Saccharomyces cerevisiae S288C: one gene and its partner. The protein of the gene in region 2 interacts with the protein of the main gene of each other region in a pairwise test. Each region holds a gene or a part of one and is shown on either strand. Other genes may lie near its edges.

Region 1 (8,461 bases), on a different chromosome or scaffold from region 2:
CTAAACGAAATTAGTGCCGGAGAATTAAATGAGAGAAATGAAAATGGAAACGGAGGTAATAAAGGGTCCTTGGGAAAACTGGCCGGACCAATAAAGTCATATGGACACAGATTCCTGGATAATAATGAATCACTTATACTAATAACATTGGGAAGTAATGACACAAGAAACAAAAGCCCTTCAATTTCATTAAGCTCGGAAGCACTAGCAAAAGTTATTGGGTTGGAAACAGATTGTGCATTATCGTTAGTAATTTCATGCAATGATTCAATTGATAAATCTTCTGTAATCTTAGATTTACCATTAGATGATAATGTGGACGCAGTAGACTTCAAAGTGCCTTTCAAAGTTGATTATTCTCATACATTATATTTTGATATTGTGCCAACATATGGAACACGCTCGTTGGAGACCCATAATAGAATAGATTGTCAAAAAAATAACAATAATTACGTAATGGCAAGGGGTGTTTCCATGTTGAATAAGTCGTACAGCTCAGTGGGAGTTAATAGAAGTATATTAAATGGTAGCGTGACGGTCCCCATCATCGCTAATCATACACTGGAGATACTTGGGACGCTGAAATTTGAATATATTATTATCACACCATTTGAACATCCACAACTGCCCTTAGAAAGAACAGAAACGTACTGGAAATCCTTAGTGTCCACTCGTGTTATAGGACATAGAGGCCTGGGTAAAAATAATCCTAATAAATCATTACAAATTGGAGAGAACACAGTCGAGTCTTTCATCATGGCAGCCTCATTGGGAGCATCGTATGTAGAGTTTGATGTTCAGTTGACGAAGGATAACGTACCAGTGGTATATCACGATTTTCTCGTAGCTGAAACAGGTGTCGATATCCCCATGCATGAATTGACGCTGGAACAGTTTTTAGATTTGAACAATGCCGATAAAGAGCACATTCAACGTGGAGCAGGTCACTCACCTCATCATGTAAATGGAGCAGATACAGCACTACAAAAATATAGAGGGCGTTCGGTAGATGATTCAGACGTTAGTACATTGAGGAGAGCTTGGGATTTACACGACAACGACCCGAATGGGAAGTCCAACAATGCTCATTGGTCTGACAATCGAATGAGGCTAACCAAAACATTTAAAAAGAACAATTTTAAGGGAAACGCTAGAGGACATTCAATAGCTTCATCATTTGTTACCTTGAAAGAACTATTCAAGAAAATCCCTGCCAACGTTGGGTTTAACATAGAATGTAAGTTTCCCATGCTTGATGAGGCAGAAGAGGAAGAGTTAGGGCAAATAATGATGGAAATGAACCATTGGGTTGACACCGTGTTAAAAGTAGTTTTTGACAATGCGAATGGTAGGGACATCATTTTTTCGTCATTTCATCCGGATATTTGCATCATGCTTTCGTTAAAGCAACCGGTTATTCCGATCTTGTTCCTGACGGAAGGTGGAAGTGAACAGATGGCCGATTTGAGAGCCTCATCGTTACAAAACGGTATAAGATTTGCTAAGAAGTGGAATTTATTGGGGATTGTATCTGCTGCAGCACCCATTTTAAAGGCCCCACGGTTGGTGCAAGTGGTTAAGTCTAATGGGCTGGTATGTGTCACTTACGGTGTGGACAACAATGATCCCGAAAATGCCAGTATACAAATTGAAGCAGGTGTAGATGCCGTGATCGTCGATAGTGTATTGGCAATTAGACGTGGGTTAACCAAAAAGAATGAAAAGTAACGAAGATACACTACTTTTATTTTTAATTTATTTTCTTTTTTTGTTCGTAAATTTATGTATGCATGTGCTTAACTAAAATAAAAAGAGAATGCTTATTTTGATAAAAGGGATGATGATATAAACTACAATAAGGTTTCACCCAATGCACACCTTGCAATGGCGCAACCTGCAGAGATGGTGTTTGAAACATGGATATCATGAATAGCCAGATCAGGGTTACATTCAACAACGTCTAGCGCAATTAAATTACCGGATTCGGCCAATCTTTCCACCAAGAAAAGACCTTCTCTCAAGGTCAACCCACCTCTCACTGGAGTACCTGTAGCAGGAATGTATAATGGGTCTACACCATCGACGTCATAGGAGCACATAATGGGACCTTCACCGTTTGTTTCTGGGTGCACGGCTTTCATTGCCATTTCAATGACAGCGTTGATGCCGTATTTGTCAACGTGGTACATGGAAAAGGCGGCGATACCCAGATCTTTCAAGATTTTCTTTTCTCCGGCATCAACATCTCTCAACCCAATATACGCGATCTTTTTTGGGCTCAAGTTGCCTGGAACCCATTTGAGCGACTCGGGACAATGTGGGACATCCTTGTTCAAACCCATTAGGAATGACACGGGACAGCCGTGCAAGTTTCCAGAGGGGGTGCTTTCTATGGTGTTTATATCAGCGTGGGCGTCTATCCATAAAAGACCAGCATCGGGGTATTTGTCCAAAACCGCGGATACAGTACCAATGGCTATTGAATGATCACCACCCAAGGTCAAGGGGAATCTGTTCGCCTGGACCACTTTCGACACGGAGTTGTACACCAACTTGGTGGCTTCACCAACCAAATCTGCTCTTTTAGCCTTGACACCGTCTATCATAACAGAGGAACCCCCAGTTGTGGAGTCCTTCTCCATTTTCAACTTTCCCACAAATTGGGCCTCGTCCATTGAGGGCTCTAATTCCGTAGACCAGCCCAAATCCTCTATGCTTGTTTGCAGACCATGCTTAAGCATGTATTTAGGGCCCTTCTCGACACCAAGCTTACCCTGACCGCCGCTGAATGGAGCCAGAACGATGGACAATTCGCGATTTTTGTAGTAGTTGTAATGAGGTCCTGTTTCCATCTTGATAGTAGTTATTGTTATTGATATAGTTGTTGTTGTTGTTTCTGCTAACTTTGAGAAAACATATACAGACCAAGAGAAGAGAAACAGTCTTAGATCTTGATAGAAAGTGGGCCGCAAGCTCTGCTTATATACTCTTTAGACCCCTCGGCGGCTACCGCTAAGTGAAAAATTCAGCGAGCGGCGATGCGCTGTTGATTGCCATTAGCAGCACGGTGCTTTGCGAAGGGCAAGAGCTAGAGACTATTCGCACTAGCCGATATTTTCGCGGCGTCTCGGCTTCTTGTAAGGGATAGAAAAAAACTGTTAATGGAAGGAGCAATCAAAGGGCGGGGATCGCGGGCGACGGTGCGGCATCGAAAAAGTGAAGAACCAGTAAAAATAGAGGTGGGGTTTATCAGTGTTGATATCTAAGTTTATGATAAACATTGATGAGTCAGGGATTGCACCCGTAGTTCATCCGTATGATGTGATGTTGTTTGTTTTTGTTTCATGTAAGGTTGCTAGAATAGGGTCCTGTCAGACAGTATGCGTAGCTTTACCATCATTTCGCCGCTATATGTGAAGGGCCGTAAATTGGATATACGGTATGTAAAAATCAGCGGAATATTATGATGAGAAGTGAGAAAATTGAAGTCAGTAATCTTGGATATTCAGAACTGTCAATCCTCAGTTTGGCCAATTTTATTTAATTTGTTAATAGCAGAACTTACCGGGCGGTCCAGTTTTGCCTACACGGTTTGGTATAAAGTTTAAAAAGCATATATACGAGCTAGATGAAGTATCCAATAGAGTTTTTCTCACGATGGTATTGGAATAGCTTCCTTGAAAGGTAACTACATACAGTGTCGAGGAAAAATAGACAATTACTTAAAGGAGTAAATGTTACTATACCTGAAAGAAATTAAGAGTCGCCATGCGTAGCAGTAATCACAACCGACATCGGGGAAGAGTGAGGGGAGCAAATTGGATGTAAATATTTTGGTGAATTTGCTCGGTACGCGCTAAACTCACATGATTTAGCAGCGCCGTGGCGCAGTGGAAGCGCGCAGGGCTCATAACCCTGATGTCCTCGGATCGAAACCGAGCGGCGCTAAATTTATTTTTTTCTTTTTACTCTTCATTTTTTTTCCAGGTCGGTGATAGTATATGAAATTCCGGTGGGATTGGGCTTATTATTTCAGGTTATATAATTTTTGAAATACGTTTTTCTTCTTTCTTCTCAGAATCATCGGTAATTTGTATGCTGGAGAAAGTAACAAATAGAGTCGATATCCTCAACTTCCCTGTAAGTCTTCACCTATAGAAACTGGTCGTAAAACAATGAGTCAGTTTGGCACGACAGATATCGTTTCCGGTTCAGAAACACCACCTTATTCTGGGGCAAGTTACCAGGACGCCCAGGATGACAATACCCATCCACATTCATCAGACGCCGGTGCAGAGAAGTTCAGTGCAGGCAGTGGAAGCGAGTCGCATACTGAATCCTCGAGAAGTGATGATGAGGATTCTCAAGCAAAAACAAAGATGGTGGATAATATTACCATCTTAAAATATATATTGGATTCTCTATCTGGTAGAGACAAATTAGCCAAAATTATCAAATACGCTCTGGATATATTAAAACTGTTTATCGAAAAGTCTAAGCGAAATTTAACTGTTTTGGACCCTTCCGTATTAACGTACTATACCAAGATTTTGAAAAATCTGACTGTAAAAGTCGCACTAAGGCATCCAATCACGGTAATTAAAGTACTTCTCCTGTCTCTTTTGAGAAATTTTGACAAGAAAATTGATTTTATCAGTCAACAATTAAGTACTTTTAGATATATTTTAAGGTTTGGCGGCACACCATTCCGAGTGTGCAGTTTCTTGGGGAAATTCAATAAAACCAGAAAGTGCAACTTTCAAATTGACCAAATTAAGAAAATATGGTTTAATGAAGCTTCATTGAGAGAATTTTTGGACTTGTATTATGGTATCTTTGATGAATTAGACTTGCTATACAAATTGAAAATATGGACAAATAAATCATTCTATTCCTTTGTCAGTAGACAAGAGTCTCTTGCATGGCAATACGACATTCTTTTAAGCTTGAAGGACCATTGGCTCAACCTGCAAAGCTTACAGAAGAGACAATTAGAATTGGAAGTGCAACTAAAAGTTCAAAATAACGCGTTACTACTCTCACCCATACTGATGCATCAGGCCCATAAAGACGATGGCTCACAATCGCCAATTAGGAAACAGTTGTTAAATGACCTAAATGTTAATAACGACGCAGAGGTGTTAATACACAAACAACTAAAGGCCATCAAGGATGAAAAGACACTTGTTTATTTAGATATTGCAAGATTATCGTTTGATTGCATGGCTAATACATCAGATATTCTAAATTTAAAAACTCCAAAGGGAACGTATGCCGTTCTGTCCCTGGGATCCGGCTTAACTGGACTGGTTAAACTTTGGATAACAACAAAGAGGTCACTTTGCTCTTCAAAAGATTGATATATAAAAATATGTATACATATAGATATGTACATATATATGTGGCGAATAATGTTTTACCTCTGCATTTGTATTGTTATTTGATTCGTTGAATAAGATAGTTTGGCGCTCGGTTTTTGCTCTTTTTCTTCCGTTTTTATGTCATTGGGGTGGCGGTAGTCATTCCGTTTTACGGTATGTTTATTCTGACACTTTGACGCAGATCTAAAAGGTGGAGTGTGGAGTACAAATAGCTCTCTCTCAAATACAGAAAAATACTTGAGTGTACAAAAGTAGCAACCTTTAAATAACAATGATTACTTCAATTGACATAGCAGATGTAACTTATTCTGCCAAACCAAGAATTTTGGTGCCTTATAAAACCCAATGGGAAGTCGCCAGTCATCTTCCTGAATATCGCAAACTGGCAGAAAGGGTAGAATTCTATAAATATGAGATGTCCACAAAGGATGATTTTGTTAAATTTTTGGAAACTCATAGAATAAACGGCTTTTGGCTCACTGAGGAGTTTTTCACTGTGTTAGGAAACCCTTCGAGTTATATTGAATTCTTCCCCGCATCTTTAAAAGTAATCCTTGTACCATGGGTCGGCTGTGACTTTATTGACGGTAAGTTATTAAGATCGAAAGGTATCACTTTATGCAACATTGGACCACATGCTGCTGACCATGTCACAGAATTGGCTATTTTCCTAGCAATTAGCTGCTTTAGAATGACTTCATTTTGGGAATATTGTTTTAAATACGTGGAAAATGGTAATGTTGAACAGTGTAAGAAATATATCTCTAGTGACTCGTATGAAATTGTTACAGATAGTTACCACGGTCAGGAAATGAAATTTCCCTCTCGAACAGACAAATGCAAGCCTAACAAGGATAGGAAAGTGGTACATTTAGCAGAAAAGTACACGGTTGGCGGGAAAAAAATGGAATCTCCAATGAATAAAAAAGTTCTAATATTGGGGTTTGGCTCCATCGGACAAAATATAGGGTCTAACTTGCACAAAGTGTTCAACATGAGCATTGAATACTACAAAAGGACCGGTCCCGTCCAAAAGAGTCTACTTGATTACAACGCTAAGTACCATTCTGATCTAGATGATCCAAATACTTGGAAGAATGCGGATTTGATCATTTTGGCCTTGCCCAGTACGGCCTCTACAAACAATATTATCAATCGTAAAAGTTTGGCCTGGTGTAAAGATGGTGTCAGGATAGTTAACGTTGGGAGAGGCACATGCATAGATGAAGATGTGCTACTAGACGCTCTTGAATCTGGAAAAGTGGCAAGCTGTGGTCTCGATGTGTTTAAAAATGAGGAAACACGCGTTAAGCAAGAGTTACTTCGCAGATGGGATGTTACAGCTTTGCCACATATCGGCAGCACAGTTGCCGACATGGTCATAAAGCAGACACTCATCACACTCGAGAATGTGCAGGACATATTTGTCGAGGGAGGTGATGGTAAGTATGTGCTCAACTGAACCATTCATTATGTTACAAAGATAGCATTTCAATTAGGATTACATACGTATATGCATTGCTCTTTATACCACAACTCTAAGAATGTCGAAAGTTATATGGCGGCGGTGATGTTGGAAAAAAAACGCGGCCGTTTTATAAAGAACAATAATCGTCTGACTAGGTAAAGTACCAGATAAGAACCGTTTTTATTGCGCGTATTGGTATGTTTTTTAAACGGAATTTTTCAAGATTGTTAAATACATCAACGATATATCCATTTTAATCACCGTTTACCTTTGTGTGTTAGCTTTGTATCTGGAAGTTTTTTCTCTTTTCTTCTTTGTCCTTGCCTTCTACCATTTTGCCTTTTGTTCGAGTTCGTGATTACATCAGGCATATACAACATCACGTTTGTTGAAACACTGGCTGCTAGGAGTATCTGTGTGTATATTCTAGAATAAACTCACACTCAACTAACAGCACGCAATGACAGATAATTTGACCACAACTCATGGTGGTAGTACCACCCTTGAATTGTTGGCGCAGTACAATGATCATAGATCCAAAAAGGACAAATCTATAGAACATATAGAAAAAGGAACATGTTCAGGAAAAGAAAGAAATCCGTCCTATGATGAAATTTTTACGGAAAACATTAAGCTAAAGCTACAAGTCCAAGAATATGAAACTGAAATTGAGAGTTTGGAAAAGGTTATTGATATGTTACAAAAAAACAGAGAAGCTTCCTTAGAAGTTGTGCTTGAGCAAGTTCAAAATGACTCAAGAGATTCATACGTTAACGATCAATCATTTGTGTTACCCCCAAGATCTGCTGAAAGGAAAGCGCATATCAAGAGTCTTAATTTGCCAATACCGACATTGTCCCCTCCATTGCAACAAGGTTCAGACGTTGCACTTGAAACAAGTGTAACGCCTACAGTACCTCAAATAGGTGTTACATCAAATACTTCAATAAGTAGGAAGCATTTACAGAACATGATACTAAACGATGAAATAGAAGCAAATAGTAGCTTCTCATCTCCCAAAATTATCAATAGATCTGTCTCAAGCCCTACAAAAATACATTCAGAACAGTTGGCTAGCCCAGCTGCCTCTGTTACCTATACGACGTCTAGGATAACCATAAAATCACCTAATAAAGGTTCGAAATCTCCATTGCAAGAACGTTTGCGTTCCCCTCAAAATCCTAACAGAATGACGGCTGTTATCAACAACCATTTGCATTCTCCATTAAAGGCCAGTACCTCTAATAATTTAGATGAGCTGACTGAAAGTAAAAGTCAACAACTAACTAATGACGCGATACAAAAAAATGACCGCGTTTATTCTTCTATAACATCCTCTGCATACACTACTGGAACTCCTACTTCAGCAGCCAAAAGTCCATCATCCCTTTTGGAAGTCAAGGAGGGTGAAAACAAGGCTTTGGGTTTCTCTCCAGCATCTAAAGAAAAACTTGACGACTTCACCCAATTACTTGACTCCTCATTTGGCGAAGAGGATCTAGTCAATACGGACAGTAAAGATCCTCTGTCCATAAAATCCACGATTAACGAATCTTTACCCCCACCTCCAGCGCCTCCAACTTTTTTCTCACCTACTTCTAGTGGAAATATA
Region 2 (4,719 bases):
CAAACAAGCAAACAAACAAATAAACAAACAAATTCTCTGTTCCTATTTTCTTCCTCTTTGTTCTGCACTTCCAGCTTTTTATGCGAGAACATCGTGTAAACTTCCTATTTAAGTAATTACATGGCTGAAAAAGTGAACACGCTAGAACACGAAAAGACAAAAAAGAAAAATGGAAAAAACAGAGGAAAATCAAGTAGAATAATGTTTATTTACCTTTCACTCAACTGTATCTTTTTGTTTATTTACTTTTCGAGTTTGCATAATTGTACTGAATCAATCCTTGCGCAATTTGGTTTTGAGAAGAGTTTCCAGTAAAATAAAATGCAAAATTATTGTTTATATACTTATTTACTAGTATATTTAATTGAGCTAAGCAAGGATTTATGTGTTGATGCTTTATTGTGCTTTTTGTACTGGACTTCTTGGTCTTAACAGCTCAATCTCATTTTTTAATGGGATATTCGAACCTAAATTAGCTATCTCTTCTTTATATCTCTTGGGTGAGAAGTTATCCAACATAACATCTGGGCTCACTATAACCCAGCCAGGTCTTACTTTGACGGGTGTCTCGTAACCAGTCCTTGCAGGAATAATATGTAATCGTCTAGTCGCGGTAGAGAAGTTTTCTGCAATACGATACAAATGGGATGGTACAGCACCATTAGTGGTGTCCTTCGTTTCGATACTCAAGTCAGTGTCTACGTTACAATGAATAAGATGTCCATCTGTAGACCTCCTTACTGTACCTGTGATACACATCCAACAGTGCCATTGCATTTTTTCCATCAACGTTTCATCGTCCTGATCTAAACCTGGATAAAACGGTGATTTCTTGTCAATAGGAACAAAAACCAATTCTTCACTTCTTCTAAACTTTTTAGCCCATATTTCATTATTCAAAAGTTTAGTAAGTTCATTGATTTTTTGAGAATTGGCCCAGATGAACAGGAAACCTGGTTTGGAGATCAATCTATCCAATGGCAATTGGGTTAAAATTGGGTAAATAAACTGATTTTCTGTTAAGCAGCCAATCATCACCACGTCGAAAGTCAAATTTTCGTTCTGTATCCAGTGATTCAACGTTGGAACAATGGAATCTATTCCGATTTTACACCCAAATGGCGTAGTGGCAAATTGATTTATTTGTTTAGCTTTCGCCTGAAATAATTTCTGAAGTTTTGGATAGCCATCAACCCTATTCTCAATATTAGTAACATGCTGTTGCGGTAGCGACTTCCCATGAATGTAGTTATTCGAGTAATCGTTTGTATGGAAGTCTCTAGAGGGTTTGAATGATACGTGTTTAGATTTCATTTCTATTGTTTCCTGGTTTGGCCCTTGCAAGTGACTGTTGTTGATGTGTCTGCTTTTATTCTGGTCGTAAGTTGGATCTTGGAATGCCATCTTAATAGTATTCTCACTTCTCTTTTGTTTTATAATGGCTGTTCTACTTTCTTCTATGTCATAATATTTAACAAAAAGTCGCACTTGAAAAGTTGAAACAAGTTATGTCGCAAGATGAAACTCGGAAATGACGAAGTGTGAAACAAGACTACAGAGCGACAAAAACCAAGCTGCAAATATACAGTAATGAAACTGAAAATATGTCCAGCAAAACTAAAATTGTTTGAGCTCGATACTAACTTCCTTCTTTTTTTTTTTTTTTTTTTTTTTACTTTTGGCTATCCTATTGTAAACGCTGTTTTACCCTTTTGCAAAGCATTTGATCACAAGATATATCCCAAAAACTATTTTTTGACTTAAGGCATTAAGAGGAGATAAGGCTCCTAATGTCACATCCAAAAGCCAAAGTATGGGACAAGCATTTCGCCCCTTTGCTCTTATTGCTTCTTGTTAAGTAGAAAGGGTAATTATAATCGAAAAATTCGCGGGAAATGATTTCAATGTTCGACTCTGAGGTAAGAAGTAAAGAGGAGATGAATAAAAGTAAAGGAAGAAGAAAAGAAAGTTGAATGGTTTCGAAGAAAAATACGGCTGAAATCAGTGCAAAAGATATATGGGAGAATATATGGAGTGGTGTAAGTTCGCTGCTTGATTTCTTCGCAGTATTGGAAAACCTAGGCGTGGTCAACGATAAGTTATATGTAAGTGGGCTATTACGGAAAGTTTGGCTGTGTTACTCGTGCATTTCAGTGATAAAATGTGTATGGAAATTAATAAAATTATGCAAGGTGAAATTTAAAATCGATCAACGATTGGATGGGGAGGGAAATGGTCTAGTAAAGGATAAGTTGATAAACTTCAAGAAAAAATATAACGAACATATCAGACATATTACTGCTGCTTTACTCCAAGATTTGAGCTATTTAATGGTTTTAATCTATCCAGGGACGAGGTTATTTAAAAGATTATCTAACATAATAACACTTTGTAGAATAATTGTATAATTTTATGCTTGAACGAATTTAGTTCTGTAAGCCCAGCTCCTTCAAGAAAGCATCCTTAGAAGGTTCCCTACCCAAAAATTCTTTCAGATTATCATTAATATCATAAAGGCCACCACGAGCCAACACAATATCACGGTATTGTATCCCATTCTTGGCATTTAACGGATCCTTAGCGAATTTGGTGTGATACATATCAGTTGCAAAGACTTCCGCCCATAGATAACCGTAATAACCGGCAGAGTAAGAGTCTGACATTATATGGCCAAATGAATCATAACCCTTGGATAACGTACCACCATTAGAAATCAAAGAAATATCCTGTCTCAATTGGTTCCAGGTATCGCAAATTGACAGGTTTTGCAAGTCTTTACAAGTATGTACTTTCATATCAAATAACCCAAAATGTAATTGTCTTAGAGTGAATAAAGCACCATTTACGTGTTTAGTTTTGATCAATGAATTGATCAAAGATTCTGGAATTTTTTCGCCCGTTTTGTAATGTGATGAGAGGTTGATTAATTCATTCTTATTCCAAGTCCAAAATTCTAACATTTGGGAAGGTGCCTCCACAAAATCCCATGGAACAGATCCGGGGCCATTAAACCTCGATTCCTTGTTTTGTCCCACCAGGTCATGGATACCATGGCCCAATTCATGGAAAAAGGTCACTATTTCGTTATGCTTCAGTAGAGAAGGTTTATCCTTCGTAGATTTGGAGAAATTGCAAACCAACGCAGTAACCGGATACGATCTTGTGGTGTCATCAATCATGAATGATGACGATAAACCAAAATTGGCAGCGTGGCCATATTTACCATCACGAGGATGTAAATCGAAATAAATCCAACCAACAAAGTTTGGAGACTTTGGATCATCCATATTCCAAACGGCGATTTGTTTGACGTCGTCATGCCAAACAGATTTGTTTTGAGAATCTTTCGTCTCGATAAACTTCAAATTAAACAATGTTTCGTATATTTCCAGCATACCAGTAATCGTAGCCTCTAGTGGAAAATATTCAGAAATCTTTTCTAGGTCCACATTGAAGTTTTCTAACAAATATTTGTTATCGTAGTAACGGTGGTCCCAAATGTAGTAGTTTGGATCTGCACCCTGGTTAAGTTTCTTAACATCTTCGGCTTTCATATCTTGCAAGACCTGTAGTTCCTTTCTGCCCAGCGGAATTAGCTTGTCCTTCAAATCATTCAAAAAGTTCATTACCGTAGTGCTATCTTCAGCCATTTTATCATACAGGTTGTAGTTCGCATACGTGTCATAGCCCAATAACGAGGCCAATTCGTCACGCAGCTTCAATGTATCCAACAGTATAGCTTCATTTTCAGGGACCTTATTTTGGTCGGCCAAAAAGGCCTGCTTTCTAGTCTGAGCTGAGGATGCCAATTTCATCACGGGAAAAATGTCCGGATATTTGAAGGTGACTTTATACAAGGTTTCATTGCTATCTTTGTCAGATTTTATTGTCTCGAACTGCGTCAAAATAGAATCCGGCACACCTTCCAATTGTTCTTTGGTGAAAGTGATGTATTCCTTTTGTTCTCCCAGATTCTTCGAAAAATTAATAGAGTTAACGGAGATCTTCTTTTTGATCTCTTTGATTTTCAATCGGTTTCCCTCGTCAAGTTCCAAACCAGAATGAATGTAGTCCTTGTAAGACTTCTCAACGTATTTGAAAGTTTCTCTTTCCACAGAATCTGCCTTCGATTGAACATCCTGCCAGACGCGGGCGAATTGCAAAAAGATGTCGTGACGCAGAGATAGATCGATGTTCAACTCATCCAGTTTCATTGAGGAGTTCACAGATGCGTCCCTAATTTCTTTATCAGACGACACATGCTGTAAGAAAGTTAATTGGTTAATTATTGGGCCCAATTCATTTTCAAACTTCATGAAAGGCTCCACAAAATTACTCACGGAAGGGCTCTCTACCTTACTCATAGAATCATAGAAATTGTTGCTGTTGTTGATGATTTCGTTGGTTTTCCCACTAATATCGCTGGGAGTGAACGACCAATTAGGCGGGGCCTGGGGAGCAATAGGGAAACTAGTAGTGTTAGCCATTGAATATAAGGAGCGGGTATACAGTAGTGGTGAGATTACAGGTGACGCAAACCAATTCTTGCACAGCAACAATCGCATCTCCAAGTATTCCCTCTATTTTTAAACTCAAATCCAACCATTCCTTCCTATTTACCTAGTTCTTATTTTCGTATAAAAAAGGTGGCAAAAAATCCAGATTTAACCGCCGTCACGCTCGTGCAGCGCGATACTACAGTTATTGTGTAGTAGCTGC

What was found. Proteins that work in one complex are often made in the same cells at the same time.
Region 1: the proteins of PEX34 (region 2) and PEX25 interact in a two-hybrid assay, tested with the Saccharomyces cerevisiae proteins (one study listed by BioGRID).

Annotation. Positions count from the first base shown.
Region 1 is NC_001148.4:334,335-342,795, reverse strand, and holds PEX25 (Pex25p), read left to right. Parts: upstream 1-4,175; coding exon 4,176-5,360; downstream 5,361-8,461. Other genes in the region: GDE1 (glycerophosphocholine phosphodiesterase), read left to right, coding at 1-1,728; CAR1 (arginase), read right to left, coding at 1,851-2,852; YPL113C (glyoxylate reductase), read left to right, coding at 5,653-6,843; GTPase-activating protein BEM3, read left to right, coding at 7,310-8,461. UniProt on the Saccharomyces cerevisiae protein: Required for regulation of peroxisome size and maintenance. Has a role in the import of peroxisomal matrix proteins. Imports RHO1 into the peroxisome. Also promotes peroxisome division and biogenesis.
Region 2 is NC_001135.5:24,614-29,332, reverse strand, and holds PEX34 (Pex34p), read left to right. Parts: upstream 1-1,973; coding exon 1,974-2,408; downstream 2,409-4,719. Other genes in the region: KAR4 (Kar4p), read right to left, coding at 397-1,404; PRD1 (metalloendopeptidase), read right to left, coding at 2,427-4,565. UniProt on the Saccharomyces cerevisiae protein: In concert with the three peroxisome divisional factors, PEX11, PEX25 and PEX27, controls peroxisome morphology and abundance under conditions of peroxisome proliferation. Maintains mature peroxisomes in actively dividing cells.